Linked DNA regions of Schizosaccharomyces pombe. Changing the gene in region 1 together with any one later gene gives a genetic interaction. Each region holds a gene or a part of one and is shown on either strand. Other genes may lie near its edges. The genes, in order: ppk9 and pus3.

What was found.
Region 2: mutations in ppk9 (region 1) and pus3 together harm fitness less than expected from each alone (positive genetic interaction), as found in Schizosaccharomyces pombe (one large-scale study listed by BioGRID).

The regions. Positions count from the first base shown.
Region 1 is NC_003424.3:1,602,107-1,612,316, reverse strand, and holds ppk9 (serine/threonine protein kinase Ppk9), read left to right. Parts: upstream 1-5,167; 5' UTR 5,168-5,227; coding exon 5,228-5,342; intron 5,343-5,513; coding exon 5,514-6,997; 3' UTR 6,998-7,244; downstream 7,245-10,210. Other genes in the region: mgr3 (TPR repeat-containing protein), read right to left, coding at 1-753; sterol transfer protein Osh3, read right to left, coding at 1,318-4,155; COPII-coated vesicle-associated protein Erv25, read right to left, coding at 7,459-7,787, 7,921-8,242; slm3 (tRNA (5-methylaminomethyl-2-thiouridylate)-methyltransferase), read left to right, coding at 9,431-9,530, 9,575-9,636, 9,724-10,210.
Region 2 is NC_003421.2:664,241-675,147, reverse strand, and holds pus3 (tRNA pseudouridine synthase), read left to right. Parts: upstream 1-3,838; 5' UTR 3,839-3,875; intron 3,876-3,981; 5' UTR 3,982-4,387; coding exon 4,388-5,511; intron 5,512-5,563; coding exon 5,564-5,681; 3' UTR 5,682-5,841; coding exon of another isoform or gene 5,842-6,030; 3' UTR 6,031-6,084; coding exon of another isoform or gene 6,085-6,430; 3' UTR 6,431-6,491; coding exon of another isoform or gene 6,492-6,562; 3' UTR 6,563-6,736; downstream 6,737-10,907. Other genes in the region: RNA-binding protein Scw1, read right to left, coding at 1-1,672; SPOM_SPCC16C4.21 (uncharacterized protein), read right to left, coding at 3,593-3,838; pop23 (Rnase P/MRP subunit), read right to left, coding at 5,842-6,030, 6,085-6,430, 6,492-6,562; SPOM_SPCC16C4.04 (uncharacterized protein), read right to left, coding at 7,079-7,411, 7,465-7,669, 7,715-7,977; peptidyl-prolyl cis-trans isomerase Pin1, read right to left, coding at 9,808-9,934, 10,080-10,480.

The DNA.
Region 1 (10,210 bases):
GTCGACCGTTTCAGTCTGAGCTAAAAGACTGGTAGCCAAATTATTCATTAATATCAATCCGTGGCAGGAAGGATTTGCCATAGTAAGATTCAATGCTTCATGATAAAGCGGAACTGCATAAGATGGAGTTCCGGCTTGAAAATACAGAGTAGCCGATTGTTCAAATAGCCTACTCTTTTGCTCATCATCACCATTAAATTGTTTTGATAACAATGCTTTTACTATGAGGTCTGCTGCTTTGGTGGCATCCTTTTGTAAGCCAAGCGGTTCTGATAATTCGATTAGCTTGCTTGCAATCAAAACTCTTTGCTCAAGAAAGTCAGGAAGCTTTGAAGTCCTTTCTAGAATATCCCAGTACATAGACCAGGCTTTGTGCAACGCTCCTGCAGATGCTAACAAATTCGCCATTTGCAAACGGATTCCTTGAACCGGAGGAGATTCCATATCCATTTTCTCACTCTCGGCTTGTTTAATGGCAGACTGGTAAGCCTTCCAGGCGTCCTGAAAGTCGTGATTATTTTCTCCCTTCTGTCGATATAATGCTTCATGTAAATACTTAGCCACGGACCTGGGATAATTTTCATCAATTGGAGAAGGTTTGGCAAAATAAACAGCAGCGACTCCTAAAACCGCGCAGCCCAGCAGGGTTGCCGGCAATGGTCTTCGCCAAAATGGCTTATGGTATTGAGATGAGCGACGTATAAAGACGTTTTGCAAAGAGCGTCTACTTTTCCAAATCCATTGCATACGCATACTTTTTTTTAATCGTATACAAACAAATTAACTAATACTATAATTTCCGATATTAGTAGTTTATGTCAACATAGAAAGCATGGAAGGGTCAAACCACTAATGTTTAGCCTCACTAAATCTTTGGAGCAAAATATAATGAGCGGTGTTAGTTACTTTTGTATACCAGCGATACCTATCTTGGATAATAATAAACATTATATGTCAAATTGCAAAAAACAATGACACCACCGACTTATTTTATTAGTGTCTTTTATGGTAGTAGTAGTAAAAGATTCCATGCTCCTTAAACTGTTGTTTACAAATGCACTTAGTATCACTGCTGAATGAACACAATATATTGTTGTTAAATTAGTTCATAACTACGAATTAAAATACGATCTTAACAGCAATTGAATCTAATTACACACAAACGAAACGTTAAAAGATATTTACTATTAAAACAAAGACAAAATATATATGAAACGAAGGAAAAACCAACGATTTATGCAGCATTAAGAAACTTAAGAGTATTTTTTTAAGGGACTTTCTCTTCCTTTTTTTTTAATTCTTTTGTTACATAAGACTTCACCATAATTTAGGACATGAACTCCAAGTAGAGTTTTCACGAGATTCCCAATAATTATTTTCCTTTTTTAATTGCCAAATTGGACCTGACCCATCTTCATCTTCGTCATCACCAGCAACAGATGGAACAAACCATCTAGGTTCCCATTTTATATCTTTCTCCTCCATTTCTTTCCTTCTTTCGCGTTGTTTTTGCTCCAGTTCCAATTTTAAAGGTTCTGCGTGATCGAGATCGTTGTTTTCTCTATAACGTTGATCAGGACGCAAACGGGTATCGGTTGGAGGCAATTTATCCTTTTCCAAATCTGTAATCTCATTCATTTGAGCAGCAAAAACAGTCATTCCGCAATGATCTTCAGGCTTGTCGACCAAAGGACCAACTTCCCAGATACGCTCGATTACATTGCCTTCATCTGTATTTACAAAATCGAGATGTGAGGTCCATTTCCCTTGCAAGCATTTAGGATCTTCTTCACCATTGGATCGTATAACTGTTACTAAAACATCTTCTGAACGTCCAGAAAACATACCTCCACTCTTGAAACGTATCACTGCCTTATCGCCTGTTGTCTCATCAACGATTTCCATATGATCGTAAGGCTCCACATATTTCTCACCGATCGCAACGTTTTTGAGGAAACAGGCTGGCTTCATAAAGCTGAATTCAGTACCACAAGCAAGCTTAATGGTGACTGGACCAAGAGTATTTAATTCAACAGACTTTCCCCAAAATTTTTGTATGGGTTTAGGCGAGTGGTTCCAAATCCAATTTCGACTTTCAGCATGACAAGCAATAATTAAAGGTCGATGACAGACTTTTTCAGCTAGAAAACGATAATTTCTGTCTTCCCGCACCAACTCAAAAGTTTCACCTAACAAGGGACTGAAAACCTTTCGAACACTTCTTTCTTTATGTCTCATATTGGAAAAATTTGAAACGGCAAAAGCAGCAACGTAAAATATTTTTATATCATCATCGCATTCATTAGCTTTGTCTAGCATGTTAGAGTATTCAAGATCTTCAGCACACCGTTGCAGTAAATTACAAGGCTCATTAGAAACAACGGGTGCAGGAATAGAACTGATATCTTTTCCAATGTTTTTTCGTAAAATTGATAGTATGCTTGGCGGTGGAACAGTAATAGCTGGTATATTCTTTCTTCTTCCAACTTTGGAATGCGGTAAAGGGTAAAGAGAGTTGGAATCGGAGGGTTTAGGGGTGAGAGGCTTAGGGATAGAAATAACGGCCCCGTCGGCGATGTTTTTAGAAACAGAAGGCTTTTGAACCTCTTCATCGCTTTTAGCATTGGCAAAACTGGAATCATCCGGTGATGAAGAATCCATTAAATCATGGAATGGCTGTTTTCTTTTGATATCGTTTTCTTTATTGCTTTCAACTTCGGGAAGAGGCGGTGACCGAGAAGACTCATCTACTGTTGAGGCGAGAGAAGTTGCATTCAACTGTTCATGTGGAGCTGAAGAGTTGGATGATGTATCGGAAATAGAAGAAGTGTCAGAATCACGATCTGCATCAAGGGAAGTGCTATTAGAAGAAGTTTTCATTATTGGAATATCGGAATCAGAGATGTCCTCCACCTTTTCATTATGAGCAACACTTGATTTAGTAGCATCAGCTGCGTGAGCACCCGACTCAGAATAGTGATTCAATTGAGAAGTTGTGCTTTCATAATCTTCAGCGTCGTACCAATGTTGCTCAAAATTGGAATCCATAGACATGCGTGACGAAGGAGAAGATTGCGCCGTACGTTCTTTAGTATATTCATGGTGTTGAATAAAGCATTCCAGTTCATGCAACAAAGACCCGAGTTGACGAGTAACCTTGCGTAAAGTAACCGCAGCTTGCGCGTTTTCAGCAGCAGTAATTTCCACTGAAGTACGGGTTTCCTTGTTTTCTTTGGCATCACCGGGAAGTTGTATACGGATCTCAGGGACAGAAAAATTATGACTTGAAGCCGATTTGATACGACTGGTGCGATACAATTGAGCAATATCCAGGCATTCACGTAGTCTTGAGTAAATAGAGACTAACTGATTGGATGACGATTCTTGTGTCCTTTCGTCTACTACGAGCTTTGAAGAAGTTTGACTATTTTTCGCCTTTTCCAAAGCATTGCACCAACGTAGCCAATCTTGGTGAGTATGTGCTCGTAGGTTCCACAGTTCTACGCCTGAATCAACGTTGATCTCATGCGTCTCTGCAGCAACGCTAATCACAGCAATGCTCAAGGGAATTTTACCGCGCATTACCGAAGAATTTTCGTTAGCATAGTATGAGATCGTGCCTTCCACCATGTTGAGAGTGAAGTAACGTCGAGCATAGCCTTGGCCCTTCTTTCGGCGCTTTTTAAGCAAGGTTCCAGAAATAATTTGTTTAGGAGAGCCATGGACTGATGCATTTGGTATTCTCGGACCGTTGTATGGTTGCGCGGTCAAGAGGAAGGTCACAGTTTTTGGTTTTGTTTTCGAAAAAGTGTTATCAAACACGAAGGCATAAAGTCCTCCATTCTCAATGTAGACAGAGCCCTCACTAGGCTTTTCCGACATACATCGCTCTCCTTGATAAAATAATTCTAACCCAGCAGCACTCAACTTCTTGATACCAGCTTCGTGAGTGTGTTGACGCTTTGTATGCAGGATGGAACGATCGGTGTTTTTGTTGGATCCATCTAGCAAGCTAGATGTGTCATTCTTTTTATGATATATATCAAACTTTATGCTTTTCCGTTTCACATGCAGTTGCCAACTCAGTAAGGAATTCGATTCCACCGTGAGCCATTGTATCAACAGACTCTTACTTCGTATCTCCACAGTTTCCATGTTGACTCATGGACTTCTACTGTGATAATTGCAAAACTTAGAAAGCCTATTTTTTTCAATTGATGACTGGAGAGGAATAAAATAATTGCCTAAACGTATGTGGTAAGAGATGGATTTTCGGTTTCGGGATTTTCGGGCGAATGACTCCAAGGTATTTTACCGATGCGGAACGTTCGGTTTTTTGGCGGCCACCTAATGTAATGTATACTTAAGTAGTAAACAAAGGGCTGGTAGCGGCAATAGGTATGCCAGTATGTAAACGGATACAAAGAAAATTTTGCACTTATCACTTTCCGTAGTGTGTACTTGGGATGCCTCGATCGGGCTATTTCAGATATGGCAAAATATACTTTACATTAAAAAATAGCTATACAAAAACATTCGCACGGTCTGTAATATGCGGTTTTATGTTTGTCTACTAGCATTGATGGCATCGTGCGAAATAATGCGGGTTTTTGGGATTAAACCGAAAATCAAATGTTTTCTGTAGTCAAAAAATCTAGCTGTTGTAATTTTTTATTTAATTGTCTTTGAGTATTTCTATTACTGCTTTTACTAATTTTATCATTATCACGGCTGTATTGTTGTAGCTTATTGTGCAAAAAATTTTGGCTAGAAGTTGGGACGGATCTAATGATGGAAGAGGGTAAATAGAGAGTTCCCATGTACTCATAAACTTTGAAAATTGGCATAATTTCCCATAACACAATACCAGCTCGATTTTCCATTTCATAACACAAAATTTACATACCTATGCATCTGATAACCCATAGACCGCGTACCTTAATTAAATAAAGTGCAGATTGGTTGCTCGTATCGAACGCTAGCGTTGTCTGCAATGTCGCCGTGGAGATGTTTACCAAAAGATAGCACGTTACGCCATATAATCTTATTACAAGGTTGCTTTGAATCACACTACTTTGCCTCGTGCACCTTTTTTATCGCTAACAAATTAGCATCAGATGCGCGGATCATGTTTAAGTCGGACGGTATGCAGCAACATGCACATGCTAACCACCTATATACACGAATAACGAATTTCATCCTATAAAGTCAGCTGGCTCGACTTGCTATGCAAACCCCTTCTTCTGCATCGGCAGAGTCTGAAAAGGATTCAGGAAACACCTATGTTGGGCCTTGGCTTTTGGGAAGGACTTTGGGACAAGGAAACTTGGCCAAAGTGAAATGTAAGTACATGAGGTGAAATTTAGTTGACTTTGTCTTGTAGGGGCTTGTTAATAAGATAGAGTAGACTACTTATAGACAGTAGAGATAGACTACTTAGGTGTCATGGTTATCTTGCGCATCGATCGTCTTTGATTTTGTTTTTGGCAATTGTACGATGGCTAACAGTGTAGTGGGCAAGCATTTTCAAACAAATGAAAAGGTCGCATTGAAAATGGTTTACAATGATGAATTGGAAGATAAAGATACGTGGAAGCGTTTACAAAGAGAAGTGACAATCTTAAGGCAATTGCACCATCCAAACATTATCACCCTATACCAGGTGTTTCGGGTTCCCAAGTACACAGTGCTCGCACTAGAGTATATGGATACTGATTTGCACAGTATGGTGGTTAAGCATAATCGACTGGATGAATGTACCACTCGCAAGATTTTTCGACAAATTGTCCATGCCATCGATTATTGTCATCTTCATCGTGTTGCTCACCGAGATTTGAAGTTGGAAAACATTTTACTTAATAAAGATCTGGTTGTCAAGCTCACGGATTTTGGCCTTTCCAATTTTATGCTTGATGGTTCCTTTCTGAGTACCTCTTGCGGTACTCCCCATTATGCTGCTCCTGAGGTTATTCAAGGCCGTTATTATGATGGTTGTGATGTAGATGTATGGGGTTGCGGAATCTTATTGTATTTGATGCTCGTCGGCGAGTTTCCCTTTGAGGATGTAACCATCTCCAATGTATTAAGTCGCGTTTGTAAAGGAATCTACACCATTCCTAGTTTTGTATCTTCTTCAGCCTCAGATCTCATTCGTCAAATGTTAATGGTGCTTCCTACTTCACGAATCAAAGTTGCAGAAATAATGCAACATCCTTGGTTTATCGCTGATCTTCCCACGCATTCCCGTTTACCTTCCCGTACTTCATCCTTTTCTTCCAAGCATCGATCTGTCACCTTTTCTCCTCCAGATCTTGCTATTCTTTTCGACCCTTCCATAACTTCGCCTTCCAGTAGTGTAGGTCAAATTCCTCAGCCCACAGATCACTCAGCCCTATCCCCGTCAAAACCAATGTCCATTTCAGGTACTGAATCTCCTAATCCAGATCCCGCATCTTTATGTTATTCGTCGTATGAGGACTTGTATTCGGCTACTTCGTGGCATTCTGACATGGCAGAATCATCCGGATTTTTAGATCCTACTGATATTCCACCAATTCCTTCTAACGTTGAAACTTTACGCTCTTCTCTTCCACAGAGACATGCTTCATTCATGAATAAGGTCTACAACCATCCATTATCCCGACCTCCCGCCCCCAACCGACTTCGTTCTTTACGCTGGCATTATGGGATTCAAACTGCCAAAAATCCAATTGAAGTATTGAGAAAGCTATGTGAGGCTTTACTTGAGTTAGGAGCTCGGTTTCGGCCCTGTGATGAGGAATCTTTTCTAAAGGAAAATAAGTATAAAGTGTTTTCATGCATTACATGTCATAATTCTCCTGTTTATCTGGTTATTGAATTATTCTCTATTGGACCATCTGCTAGCGTGATTGATATCCGCTTTTCTAGTAGTGATGATTCTATAAAGTACACTTCATCTTACAGTCCAATGCCATTTTTAGAAGTTGTCAAACAATTGATCCTTAAAATTGCATAAGGTCAGTCGCGTAACTCAACCTAATTCCCTTTTTTATCCTTTTTTTTTCTTTTACGATTTTTTTTGTTGTAAAGCTTTTGTTTTCAATATTGTTTGCATTTACTAATATTGTGAAACTAAGTTGAATTTTGATATTTTTGTTACGACTTTCTCATTTAGTTTCAATTAGAATTCACAGTTGTTACATTTCCCTTTTGTTTTTTGAATTTGTTAGTTATTTCACAAACAATGAAGATAAACAGTTGTAATATTACAACAGAATTATGCTAATGTAATTTACTACAATCTTTTATTTTTATTCATGAAGTTAAAGAGTGAAGTAGTGTATATGCATTAAATGTGAATGTTTGTCCATACTCACAGTAATTCCTAGTACGGAATATAAAAGCAACCAATTAATTTTTGGAAATTGTGGAAGTGCCAAGTATGCCGTATACGTATATTTATTGTTCATGTGAAATTTAAGGGATAAGATGCTTCCTTTGGAAAAATGAACGTAAATAGAGGATTTGCCATATAACAAGAACAAATAATGAGATAAAAGTAAGATATGCAAAATTCTTGACACGCTCATTAGTACTTTCATTAGTGTTTCTGAATCTAGCTTCGCGAGCTTGCAAATAGTAAATTTTTCCTTTGATTTCTTCAATGAAGTCTCTTGCACGACGGATATCAGCTTCTACAGGTTCCAAGTTGTTTGCTTTTTGCAATGAAGAATAATCATCGGCGTCAGCGCCTACAGTAAACTCAAGTTTGACGGATCGCTTTTTATGTTCAGACTCTATAGCACCTACATTTAAATGTCAGTCAGAAAGCTAAACTCATAAAGGATTTCTTTTTCAAAGAAAGAAAGGGATCTAAACAACGTAAACAAATCAAAATAGCCGTTGAAGTAAATACGACTTTTAGATATAGTACCATACCTGGTGTCAAAGTATTTAGGAAGCAAATATCGAGCATAGCAGAAGCATCAACGTCAAAGGCAACACTCTTCTCGCCTAAGACATTTTGAATACTGCTATGAGTGTTGCCAGATGAATCAGTTATCATCATACTCAAGGTTTGTCCATCTCCCATATTACCAGTAGTTTTCAGATTAACAATTACAAGGTTCTTTTCTCCTACGTATTCACGAAGACAGAAAGGCTCTGGATTGGTTTTGGCAGGAATATCAAAGTTTAAAGCATGGACAACAGTCAATAATGCTAGCATAAAGAACAACGAAGATTTCAAAGAAACCATCATTTTGAAATAACTCCAAATGTTTGGGATACGATATGAACGACGTAATAACCACCACTGCTGTATACAGGTTGGCAAAAGAAAGAAATCTTGCCTGTTCTAGTTAAATGATGGTAAACCGAATGCCAAGGGGGAGTGTGCGCTGCGTCTCATTAACTTTCCTTACAGCTACAATGCAACAAAAAATACAAAAATAAGAATTCTGAGATACTTCCTTACGAATCAACTTTTATTAGTGTAAGAAATAACTCAATTTTTTTTTGCGGATCTCTTATAGCCTTAAAAAATGAGTAAGGGGCGTTGAAGGGTTTCATTTAGCAATGTAAACATAAGATAGCCATCGATATCACTAGCAAAAAGTGATAGGTTATAAAGCAAGAAAATGAATAAAAGAATGGATTTAGTTAATTTCTATACTAGTATTATGAGAAAATTAGCTTTTTCATTTTCTAATGATTATTTAATGAAAAAAAACTTACTAAAGTGATGCAAAAAATTATGTTTTGAATGCGGATAATCAACTTGAACCAAATCTTGAAAAACCATCAATTTTAAATTCAATAGCTAACGGAGTTAATTAATCATATAACTTTCAAATTTCTTTAGTAACTTTTAACTGATACGTATTCATTTACTAATAAATTTAAAATAAATTCTCAATTGTTCAGTTATATATTACAAAGACAAACGGACAACCACAAGCTCTTGTAGCTCAGTGGTAGAGCGCTTGCCTAGTAAGCAAGAGGCCCAGTGTTCAAGTCACTGCTGGAGCATAGTTTTTGTAAATCCTTAAAATTACTTTTTACTTAGTAGAAAAAGAGCGGCAGATTATTAAAATTTTTTTCAAATTGAACATATTATGGTTCATAGAAAATAAATGTCTATAAGTTGTCACGTCACTAAGAAGTGAACGTGTAGTTGTTAAGATTTTATAACTCATTAATTTCATAGTATATTAATGCCAAAGATTCTAAAAAATTTATAAACATCTATCGGATACTTAAGAATAATCCTGGATTCATGAAATTTGCATTTTGAGTTGTAGCACTATTAGGAGTATACTGACTGTTCTCGTAAATTCATCACCCATAGCGAACATAGCTACACTTTTCCCCCTATGTTGCGCTAGAAAGGTTTTTTTTGGTTTGGTAAATTGTTACATGTGGGTAGTTAAAATCTGATAAATCATATATGAGGGTTTCACTTTTTCTACAAAAGCAAATCATAGAATGCTCAAAGGCGTTTCAACCTCATTCTACACGTTTACAATGGCCCAAATCGCAGGATAAAGGTTCGTTTATTTTTTAAGCTAAAATGTCTAATAATGTTTTTAAGTATTTGTAGCTATGTCGGGAGGCGTGGACTCTAGTTTTTCGGCGTATTTACTAAAAAGTCAGGTAATTCGCAATTCTTTAAATTGACTCTAAAAGAGAAATGCTTTGATGTGAAAGATTTTTGAAACTTATTACTAAACTTTGGTTTAGGGATATAATGTGGAAGGTGTTTTTATGCGTAATTGGTTAGATGAGGACTCCGCGCCTTCTGGTTGCCCTGCTGAAAGAGATTGGGCAACAGTCCAAAAGGTTTGTAAGAAGCTCAATATATCGTGTAGACGGTTTAATTTCGAAAAAGAGTATTGGAATCTCGTATTTGAGCCTAGTCTAGATCTGTATGAAAATGGATTAACTCCCAACCCAGATGTATCTTGTAACCGACAGGTAAAATTTGGAGCGTTGTTCGACGCATTGAAAAAACATTGTGAAAATAATGTCAAGGGTGACTGGTGGCTGGCTTCTGGTCATTATGCAAAATCGGTTGTTAATATTGAGACCAACGAATCCCACATGTGTATTCCGACTGACAAGCGTAAAGATCAGACTTTATTTTTATGCACAATCCGCAAAGAAGCTTTAGAAAAAACCATTTTTCCTCTACATAATTGGACGAAAGAGAACGTGAAAAAGCAAGCAA
Region 2 (10,907 bases), on another chromosome or scaffold:
TTAGATTATTACCCCAACTGGGACTGGCGTGGACTTCGTTATGTCCACCAGTATGATTAAGCAAAGAGTCTGTATTGTAATTATTCATGGAACCAGAGTGAAGGTTACGAACGTTTCCATTATGGTTGTTATGCGATGAACTTGATGAGCGCACTCCCAATGGGTTCTTCGAAAAACTCAAACGAATACCACCTTTAATGCTACTGCTAAGACAAACACCTTGTAAATTCTTCAAGGCTTCCATGGCGTATGGAATGTTTTCAAATTCAACAAAACACATGGGGCCATTGCCTTTAGTGCGGAAACAAAGTCTTTTGTATCCAACTTGAGTGGAAAACAAAACTTTCAACTCTTCCTCGGAAGTAGAAGGAGGAAGATTTCCAACATAAATGGTGTTACAAGGAGGATTTTGATCAGCAGGGTTGGTATTCGTGGGGGTAGAAGCAGGGATGCGTTGATGAATTCCATGACTGGAGGAATAAGCCGAAAATGGTGTGGAAGGTGAAATGGTAGAAGCTGAAAATGGGTAGTCTCTTGATGTTGATGGTGTCAAGGGAGGAGGGCTTGTTGTACTGAATGCACTGTTTGCCGAAAAGACACGAGGATGGGGTGATTGAGCACTAGAATTTTGGGTATGAGCGCTATAACCCTTTTCAGATGAAAGGTAATTGCGCGCCACGTTGGTGTTAATAGATAATGAGTTAAATCGCAAAATCGGAGGAACACCGTCTTGACGCAAATTGGTACTACTTTTGGAAGGAGTGGGTGACCACGTAGGTGAACCAACTTCATCCTTGGCTAACACATTCGCGAGTGTTAAAGGATAAGAAACAGGGAAAGAAGACCACAACCTATCGGAATGCAAACTACCTCCATTGTTAGGAGCCTGAAAAGTGCTATCACCCAAAGGTGTTTTTGAATGACGATAAGCAGATTCCGAATGATTTGCAGTAGGCATACTGGCTGACACATGATTACTTGACCTGCGGAAAAGATCACGATTTCCTAACAGTGGACGAGTTGGAGAATGGTTTCGAGACAGTCTGTTAAATGAAACACTACTCTCAGAGCCCTCAGTTTCGTCGCTAAGATTTGTTTGACTTCCCTTTCGATAATTGTCTAAAATTATCATGCTGCACGCGGAATAAACATCGCTAGATAGCAAAGTGTCTCTAGCAGATGCAGCAGCATCTCGGGATGAAAACACCGCCAATCCATGAGCAACTTCATTATCCACGGATACAGGATTAAGCTCGACGGATACTACATTCGTAGCGAATAAAAAGGTACATAAAAACTCTCTGGGTGTTAAGTCCCTAGGTAAATCCTCAATCCGCAAAGCATAATATCTAGGAAAACCGAATCCAACCTTAGGAGGAGCAGAGGCTAATCCACCGTTGAGGTTAGAGAGGAGTCTACCAATCGGAGTTGTGGATTTTTCCACAGATGCATAAGTAGGTAAACCGTCAGATTCAGCTTTCCCAGCTTGGCTGTGAATAGCCTGAGGAGACATGTGAAGAGCATGACATTCATCATCTCCATTCAGAATACCGGTTGGAACCAACGATGAACCACGTAGCGCATCTTCAGTAAACTCGGTTTCGTCCCCGACTTTGGTCTTACTGGATAACGATAAAGGCTTTTCAATAGCGCTCGGTGATCCCACAAACATTTTGCAAATTATATATAATGGTAATTGAAAAGAAGAGAAAAAAGAATGACAAAGTGGTTGATAAAGTAACCAAAATAAGCAATAGATGCCTAAAAGTAAAACACAAATGAAATAGCAGTAGTTGTTAAATAAACCCCAAACGATAATAAATGAGGCTTCAAGCTTAATAACACGAAATAGTTAATAAGTGGAGTAAAAAGTTAGAAACCTAGTTGGTCGACTAAAAAGAAAGTGTGTAAGTAATAAAAATAAGCAAGGGCAATGAAGAAAAATAAAAAATTCAGTAAAAATTGTTAGCAAGTATTAGAAAAATCCAAATACTTGACGCGAAAGAATTAGAAGGGCAACAACCTAGAATACTGGACGAAGATAATAAAAGAAAGACTGTAACTTCAAGAAAACGAGAGCAAAGGGTAAACTGTTGACCACCACAAATAATTCTAGTTGCTAAAAGAGAGACAGATACAACTGTGAAGCAAAAAACACAAACTGAAAATGAAAAAAAGATGACTGAAATATGCAAAAATACCGAGCTAACAAAAAGTCTAGGGCAAGGCTTATGAGGAAGAAATCGTCAAAAGTATCGATAAAAAGACTTCGAAGGTATTCGAAATGCTTAAAAAAATCAGTTAGCGATTTTTTTTTTTTCAAAAAAAAAGAAATGGTTGCAGATGGAAAAATAAAATAAACAATCAACTTTTCAATCAGCAGAGTATAAACAAATATACAAACAAGTAAACAAAAGACACTTGTTTTTTTTTGGAGAGGTAAATCAAAGGAAAGCAATCGGGCAAAAAGTGAGAAGCAAATAAAATATACCGCTATCAACAAAGAGTAAATATCCAACAACAAGAACAATCAAGATAGAAGTAAAATTGCTGGGAAGATTGGCAAAACGTAAGCAAAAGAAGTATGAACACGGTTTATAAAGGAGCGAAGAATGAAAGGAAAAGCAAAATAAAAGAAGCTTTTCTAAGTAACGTTAAATAAGAGAGATCAAGTTAAAAGAAAAAAGGCAAAAAGATTCCAAGAAATTTCAAATAAAAAGAAAAAAACTAAGAAGTAAAGTGAATATGAAATCTTTGTGAAAAAATGATTGAAACTTGATCAAAATAATAATAAGGCATAAAATAGGGTCAGAAGAAAAAACAAAGAGGGAAGAAAGAGAAAAAAAAAAGAAAAAGAATAAAACAAAAAAGGTAACCCACACAAAAACGAAGAGACTAAATATTATATAAATGTCACAAAACTTTGTATGAACAAAAAGATGGGCAAAAAAAAAGACCAAACGTTTAATAAGCAAATACCCTTAAGTAATGAGTAAAAGGCGGAAGAAATGAATCAACGAAATCAAACGAGTGAATAAAATTTCGAAAAAAAAAAAAATAAGGAGCCGGGTATCTGAATGAAAACGAATCGTGACTATTTTATGGATTGAGAATAGGGAAATCCTAAAAACACAAAATTGTTTAGTGGGGATAGAAATGGATAGATATGAAAATGAAATGAATAATGAAAGGAGGTCGAATAAAAACCCAGTTGAAAAACTATTTATGGCCAAAATTCAACAAAGCAACAAATGGCTAAAGTTCAATGAAAGGGTACAGAAAAATAAAAAAGAAAAGTAAGACTTTCAACACACACGTTGTGCTTCCGAAACGGATATAATTTTCCTTGTCGTGCAGGCTGAGTCAACGAGCCCCTAAGATGAAAAAATGAGAATTTCCGTAAAAACAATGAAAAGAAAATATTTAATAGGGAGAAACCGAGGAACGCAATAAATAGCAAAACAACCAAGACTGAGAATGCAAAAAAGAAAAAAGAAAAACAAGCGTTATTAGATGAATGAAAGGACAATCGAAAACTAATCCAAATAATAATGGAGATGATAACAGTAAATATCAAATTTCTGCTATTCTGCTATGTTTCCGGCTTAAATCTTTTTTTTTGCACTACAAAAAGCGTTTTCTTGCCTACTGCGACTGTTTTCCTGGTGGTTGGGAGGTATAGGTGGTCGGTAAGTTCGGCGTGCAGTGTGGAAACGCTGTACGTTAGAGGAACACCAGCATCATCATGCATGACAAAATGTTGAACCGATGGGTTAGCGGTTAAGATGCAACATTCACTATATCTCAATCCCTTAACATTTGCCGGATAGAGCTGCATAGAAAAAAATTTGTCAAAACCCGGGTAGTAAGAAAAAGTATGGTTTAGAAGGTATTTTAAATAAATCAACGAAAATTTAGCAGAGAACAGTAAATAAAGAAGCAAAGATTGATAAGAAAGCGGTTGCTAACGAAAAGAATTAGTTTTGTAGGTTGACCTTTGAAACGACTGAAAAAAAATTAATTTTCGATAAAAGTTGAAAAAAAAGGACCTTCTAAAAACGGCAAATTTTCGGCTTCATTGTCCATTCAAAGGGGTAGAAAGGAGATACAAGGTATTTCTTTGTGGTATCTAGTATGTACAGCTTGGTTTAGTAAAAGAAAATAGATAAACAACAGGGTATTGTGGGTAAGACTATTCATGGAAGCTAGGGCTCTTTCCAAAAAATTATAGTAATATTCTATATTGTTCATGAAAAACAGTTGAAGTGCTTCTACCCTTAGTTTAATATTTTTTTAATATCCTAACTTTTGCTTGAGCACATGCCATCTGTAGTACCTTTCCTCTCTTTCATTAAAAACTTGCTTAGTTAATTTCATCTTTCAAACTATGCATAGTCTCTTAAGACCTTCAAGGTTCTCTGCCAACCAATCTGTGCTTTGCTTGCTCCAACGACATCGGGTTTTCTTTTCTTCGATTTCGGTGAAACCCCGGAAACGAATGGTCTACTGTGTTGTCAGCTATCGTGGTACTGGCTTTGCTGGTTTGCAGTACAATGCCAATGTCAAAACCATACAAGATACACTGTTCCAAGCATTCGCTCGAGTAGGCGCCGTTGTTCAGGTGAATGCTGACTCTCCCAAGAAGATCCGAATGTGTTCTGCTGCTAGAACAGACAAGGGTGTACATGCCATTGTTAATGTTCTTGGTTTGAAAGTGTTGGACAATCAACCTCTACCTCATGTGGTGAATTTGGTCAACGATATTTTACCACCTTGTATTCGTGTATGGAAAATGGCGAGGACGTTTAATTCGTTTTCTCCACACACTGTGTGCGACAGTCGCGTATATGAGTATTGGTTGCCTGTCTCCTCTCTACTTACTCCCCGTCCTTGCACTCTCGAGGCCTATGTAATTGCCAAGGCATCTGAAAAAGCATTCCCCATTAATGAAACACTTTCCCATTTAGCTAACTTAAGCAAACAAGACTGTGTTGCGAATTCCTTGTCCGAGCCCTTTCGTTTATCCAAACCTAAACTCGACTTTCTAAAGCATGCGTGTACGATGTTTCGGGGCACCCATCGATTTCACAGTTATACAACGGAGAAGGGTTTTTCGGACGCCAGTTCTCGAAGGTTTTTATTAGATGTGCGTGTGGATAACCTTCACATTGACAAGTTAAATCGCCAATGGGTTAAGCTAATCTTTCACGGCCAGTCGTTTATGAAGCATCAAATTCGCAAAATGGTTGGCATCCTTATTCATCTTACACGCACTGGATGGAATGCGCAAGTTTTGCTAAATACATTTAATAATTCGTATCGCATTCGAATACCTAGAGCGCCTGCTGAGTTTTTACTTCTCAATCAACCTATCTTTCAAGCTTTCAACAAAAAATGTTCCCGATTTGATCATGAACCGGTTGAATGGTCATGTGCGCAAAAAGGCATTGACCAATTTGCACATTCTTTTCTTCGAACTCCAATGTTTGATTGCTTCATTTCATCAGAATCGTAAGTTAAACCACACCTTTCATTTCTATCTCACATTTTATTAATGTCTCAGTTTTCAATCATTTTTCATCCTTCAAAAACAATTTCAATTATTTCAAGACTTAGCTTTGTTGACATCGTTTGACTTTTTAGAGCCCTCGTCTCGTCGTGATATTCTTGGCGAAAAATAGATATTGCCCAGCCTGCTTAAAACTCAATTTATCGATGTTTCTTTTCATACTTTCTCAATCTACACACAATCTTTCATACCTTACACATTTACACATACACACACGCAAACATATATATTTACATATACAACTACAAGAAATCTGCCATCTTAAAATTTTTTCATTTTTTAAACTCGTTTCCCTTTTCGTTTTTACCCTCTTTTTTTGTTCCTTGATTTTCCTTTTGACTTGTAATGATTTTTTCAACCTTGGTCACCTCATACTCAGGATTTTCGGAAAGCCAGCGTGCTTGAGGCTCTTCTATATTCATCACTAAATCTTTTAAATATTTCCATAGAGGAGAATCATCCTAAAATATAGTCAATATCATTCTACTTAGTCTAAAATTGACCAGTAACCTTACCTGTACGGCAATCGCACCCGCCCTGCTCAAACCCAATTTCTTGGCGATTAGCGCTTGTGCAGAAAATCCAAGTGGAACTAGTCGACATTTGGAGGAGCCATAAAAGTTAGCATTTGCAACAAGCTGGGGCATGTGTGTAACTAGCATGGAATCCTGGTCATGAAGGATGAATACGACCGCAGGTTGCGTAACGTCTTTCGCATTTTGGCAACATCTCTCTAGCAATTCATTGACAGAATTCAATCCAACGGTCAACTTCGAGTCTAATATGTCTTTATGAGAGGCAGGAAGCCATTGCACAAGTGTTTGAGCTAATTTCTCTTGTGTATTTGCATCAACGATAGGCCTAACGGTATGGTTAGTCAGTACGAAAATAGGTGTGAAAATACAAGCAATAGATTACATACCAAGAGATAGATAAAGGATTTCGAAGGACAAGCTTAACTGTTTGTTTTACTTTCGTTTGCTTTTTCTTCATAGCTCAAATATCTAGTCCTCCTTTCAGGACTTCTTTTAGGTAAAATAGTAAAACGCTATATTTCACTATTTGATTTATGAAATGCAAAGTTCATACAATTCTGTATGCAGTGATACGTTATTTTACACTATTATAGAGAAATAAAAATATCAGAAATTGAAAGATAATAACAAACGTAAAAAAGAGTTAAAGAAGCTGTCGTTTCAATTTCAATTAATTCTATCATGTTACATGCAAATATCAAGCGAGGATTTTCTCAATTTTCTAATGACTAGCATAAATTAACAGTTCTAAAATAGTAGAAGATGAAATTCATAAAAGTTTAGAACCTTCAAAAATGAAGTAAAAAAAGTTTTTGAAGTAGTAAAAATGAAGTTTAGGAGGGAAAGAACTCGAAAAAGTTAAACAAGGAAATACGTTAGAATCAATCAACTTCATCACAATCTTTTAACTTTCTAGATTAAATAGAAAATAGTAAAAATACATGGATATGATGCATGCCTTCTTATACTTACATCAGGAAATAGCAAGTAAAAATTGGTCAAGTAGAAATTTCCATCTTTGCGGAGAAAAGGCAGATTTTTTCGAATGCGAGATGTATTTTTTTAACCTAAAGAGTAAAAGAATAATGCCAAAGATTGCTCCTACAATTTTTATATTTTTGTCAATTAACTGTAAACGCGAGAGGAGTGGAGTTAAACCTTGGTTTATTAAACGAGAGACTTTTGAAAATTGCAATTTTAGGGTCAAGGCAAATTCTCCTTCATCTTCCGAGGGATCAGGAGTTTTTGAACGCTCAAGGTTCATTTTTAACTCTTCCTCTTGTGCTTGAATCCGAAGCAGTAATGACTAAACAGTTAGCGACAAGGATCAAACGTAAATGTTGTTACAAACATGCATACATTTTCAAGTTCCCCACGAGAATTAGCCAATATGGCTTTCAATGGCTCAGTAAGCTGCACGCTACAAGCACAATTGACAAGTTTGGGGAGAATTGAATCTTTCAATTCACTTTTCAAAATGGCGTCTTGGTAGCGATACAAAGAATTTATCATTTGCGCGTAGTTCTCTTTTGTAAATTCACTATTCTCTAAATAAGTAATTATCCTGGTCACGTTAAAACTTCTGATCAAAATTTAAAATACTACATACCAATTTACCACGATTGAATCCGGTATTTTCCCTTGATAGTTGTGTAACAATTTTTCCTCCATTTCTGTCCAAGAACGCCTTTGTTCACACATAATTGTCAGGCACAATATTAACGCTTGTTCGTAAGTGTTTTCACTACAATTAGCATTCTTTAAATAATTATCAAGTATATATAATGAATGTTCATCTTTTCCTTCCACGTATAGTTTATAAGCATATCCGAAAGGCGTCTTATAATCCATTGGGAGTGTAGCAGAAGCCATGGATGGTAATTGGGCTTTTATGAAAAAAATTGAGAGATATTAAAAAGGATAAATAATTTCATCAATTTCTTCTTCTCAGGATATTTAAATTGATCTAACTAGCATGAAGAGTAAGTCATTGAGTAAGATACTCTATTTAGTTTTGGTATGCAGTGGGATTCCAGTTACATTGCAAATGAATCGAAGCATGCTCATTGTCATGCAGTTTATACTTTCTCTTACAAACATAAAAATTGAAAATTGAATAGAATAGAATAGAATAGTATTAATCAGAGACTAAGAGCCTGGCAATTCGGTATATTAAGAATGAAAAAGATTCTTTCAATGCATGACCTCCGTTTATCTTTGCTATTGAGGAATGTATCGCTTCATTAAAGTGAATTACTCATCCAAGGCGTAAATTCAATGATTACTCATTATCTTGATCCAGAATGAACTTCTTTTCAATGCTCAAAAGTTATATGACTGACTTATCTGGCTAAGGTAATATTAAATAGAGCTATGACAAACAAAGGTGTATTGATAGTATAACCTCTAAAACCTTCGATTTAAATTGAACATATAGTTTTGAATCGAATGCCATATTTGTTTCAAAAAAAATTCCTTCAGTAGTCAACAGTACCTTAGCTATTTTTCTATTTATTTTTATTATTTTTGGCACATCAACAATTGATTGAAATTAACTTTCAAATTTAAAGGTTTTTAACTGTTTGACTTCTTTTTTACATTGACTAAAGTATCATTGCTTCGACCGGCAAACTATCCCAATAATAGATTCTTAAGCTTATTAAAAAAAAATATTTCTTTTATTTTGAAAGATTTAATTGTATTAACGAAGTTTAATAATAAACTCTGATAGCTATACAATTGTTATTTTAATACAACTCATTTTACAATACTAAATGTTCAAGATGAGATTTAACGTTACTTAAAATAATCCCTAATTTAAATTATTATCATTACTATTTTTTTTAAAAAAGAACACTTTTTTTCATAATTCAGGCCCCTACTGTGTAAACACATTTGGATTCCTATAAATTATCAAATATTCCTTTACTAGCTGATATATGGATTCGCTTTATAAAATACAGAAAGATAGAATTTAGTACGAAGTCGGTTCAAATAAATTTATTAAATGGGTTCCAAATGCTGAAGAATTCTACTCACCTCTATAGCGTAAAAAATGGGATGCTGCATTTTCACTTTGCCGGATATTAATTGTTTTATTGTAAATCAGTGCATGGGGTTGGTTAGAGAAAAAAAACGAAAAAAGACTTGTGTAGGTATAAAGAAAAATAAACAAATAAATAAATATAGCATAAAAAAATGACTACAACCATAAAACCTCAAATGAAATATGCAAAAGATAAATTTGTAATTACTTTTTCTAATAAAGTTAACATTCATGTAAAGTAGAAAATCTGTGAAAATTTTTAAAGTGAACAGAAATCTCGAAACATCAATCAGTTACTTTATCATTTTTCATCAAAGCTTTTTCAATCAATAGCAAAGCGAAATCAAATCATTTTGTTTTCAACCTAGGTAGTAAGCTGGCTCGTGTTCATGAATGGGCAAACACTTAAATACTAAGTTAAAATGTATTATAAACGGGTGAACGTCAGAAATAAGGGACATACAAAGCGACAATTGTGAATATTCTCCTTTGGGAAAATGGTCAACAAAATGTAAAAAATCATCAGAAGAGATAAATTTGTGACAAAACAAGACAAACATTTTGTTTGCTTTTTCAAGCATACGGAAAGGGAGTAAGTGAAAATAAGAAATAAAGCATACTCATTAATATTATTAGGTAATTGTTTTGCAAATGAATTAAGCGTGTCTTTGAATGATGTGAAACCCACTGCTCGTTTCAACCACTCCACTAATTTCACCGGGTTTCAAGGCAAACGCAGCGTCTTCAAACGGTTTTTGCATTTCGTCTCTTCCAAATTCGCCTCTACACATAGTGTTAGTAAAAATCGTTCCAGTTGAAAATCAGACTACACTTGGCAAACCAACAAGAGCTTATCACCAAGTGTGGCACCACCATATACTGTCGGTCTTGCGACTCGTATTTAATTACAGTATATCAAAATACATACAATTCACCTCCGCGACGAGCGGAGCTACAATCCGACTCTTTCATGGCTAAATCATGCATGCTTACAGAGCCACTCTTTAGCAATTGTTCATAGTGTTCAGCCAGCTTCCTCGCCTCCTCCTTGCTCCTAGTAATGTGCTCCTCCTTCCATGAGCTGGGACGACGGCTTTCTCGATGCTTTACGAGTAAATGGCTAGCACGAATCTTGGGTGAATTGCTTGCCTCGGTGGGTGTAACTGACTCCTGCAACTCGTTTGCAATGAACTTTTTCAGGGCAGCCATATCAGTGGCAGCCGGAGGCTCCCATAAAGACTCATGCGTCTCAGTATTAAAGAAGTAGGGACGATTTCTGGAGCGTGAAATCTTGACAATCCATGGTTTGGGTAACCCAGTATTAGACATTTTTTTTACCACAACGCTTCTTCAAAAAATGGATTCACTAAGACAGAAAAAATCCTCAACTATAAATTACAAGCAAAACACGTTCAATCTCTGCAATTTGAAGCTTGTTTATTTGCTTTGTTTAGAGTCACGTAGTAGCTAGAGTCGTTTGCCATCTATTATGTAAATAAAGCACATTTGCTATGTTGCTATGTCAACCACCACTAAGGCCTTCGATAGGAAAGGAAATGGGGGCATTCTACCTTTTTATCCCAAGTGGGGGCACTTTCCAAAGTACCAGAAGATAGGGCATACCTTATTCGTCAATTGGAGACAAAACTCAAGGCATGCCTTTTTGCCTCAGCATAAGCGGAACACCTAGCTTGAAAGAGTAAAAAGTCGTAGAGGACTACAAATTCGATATTTATTTAATTAATCAAGAAAAATT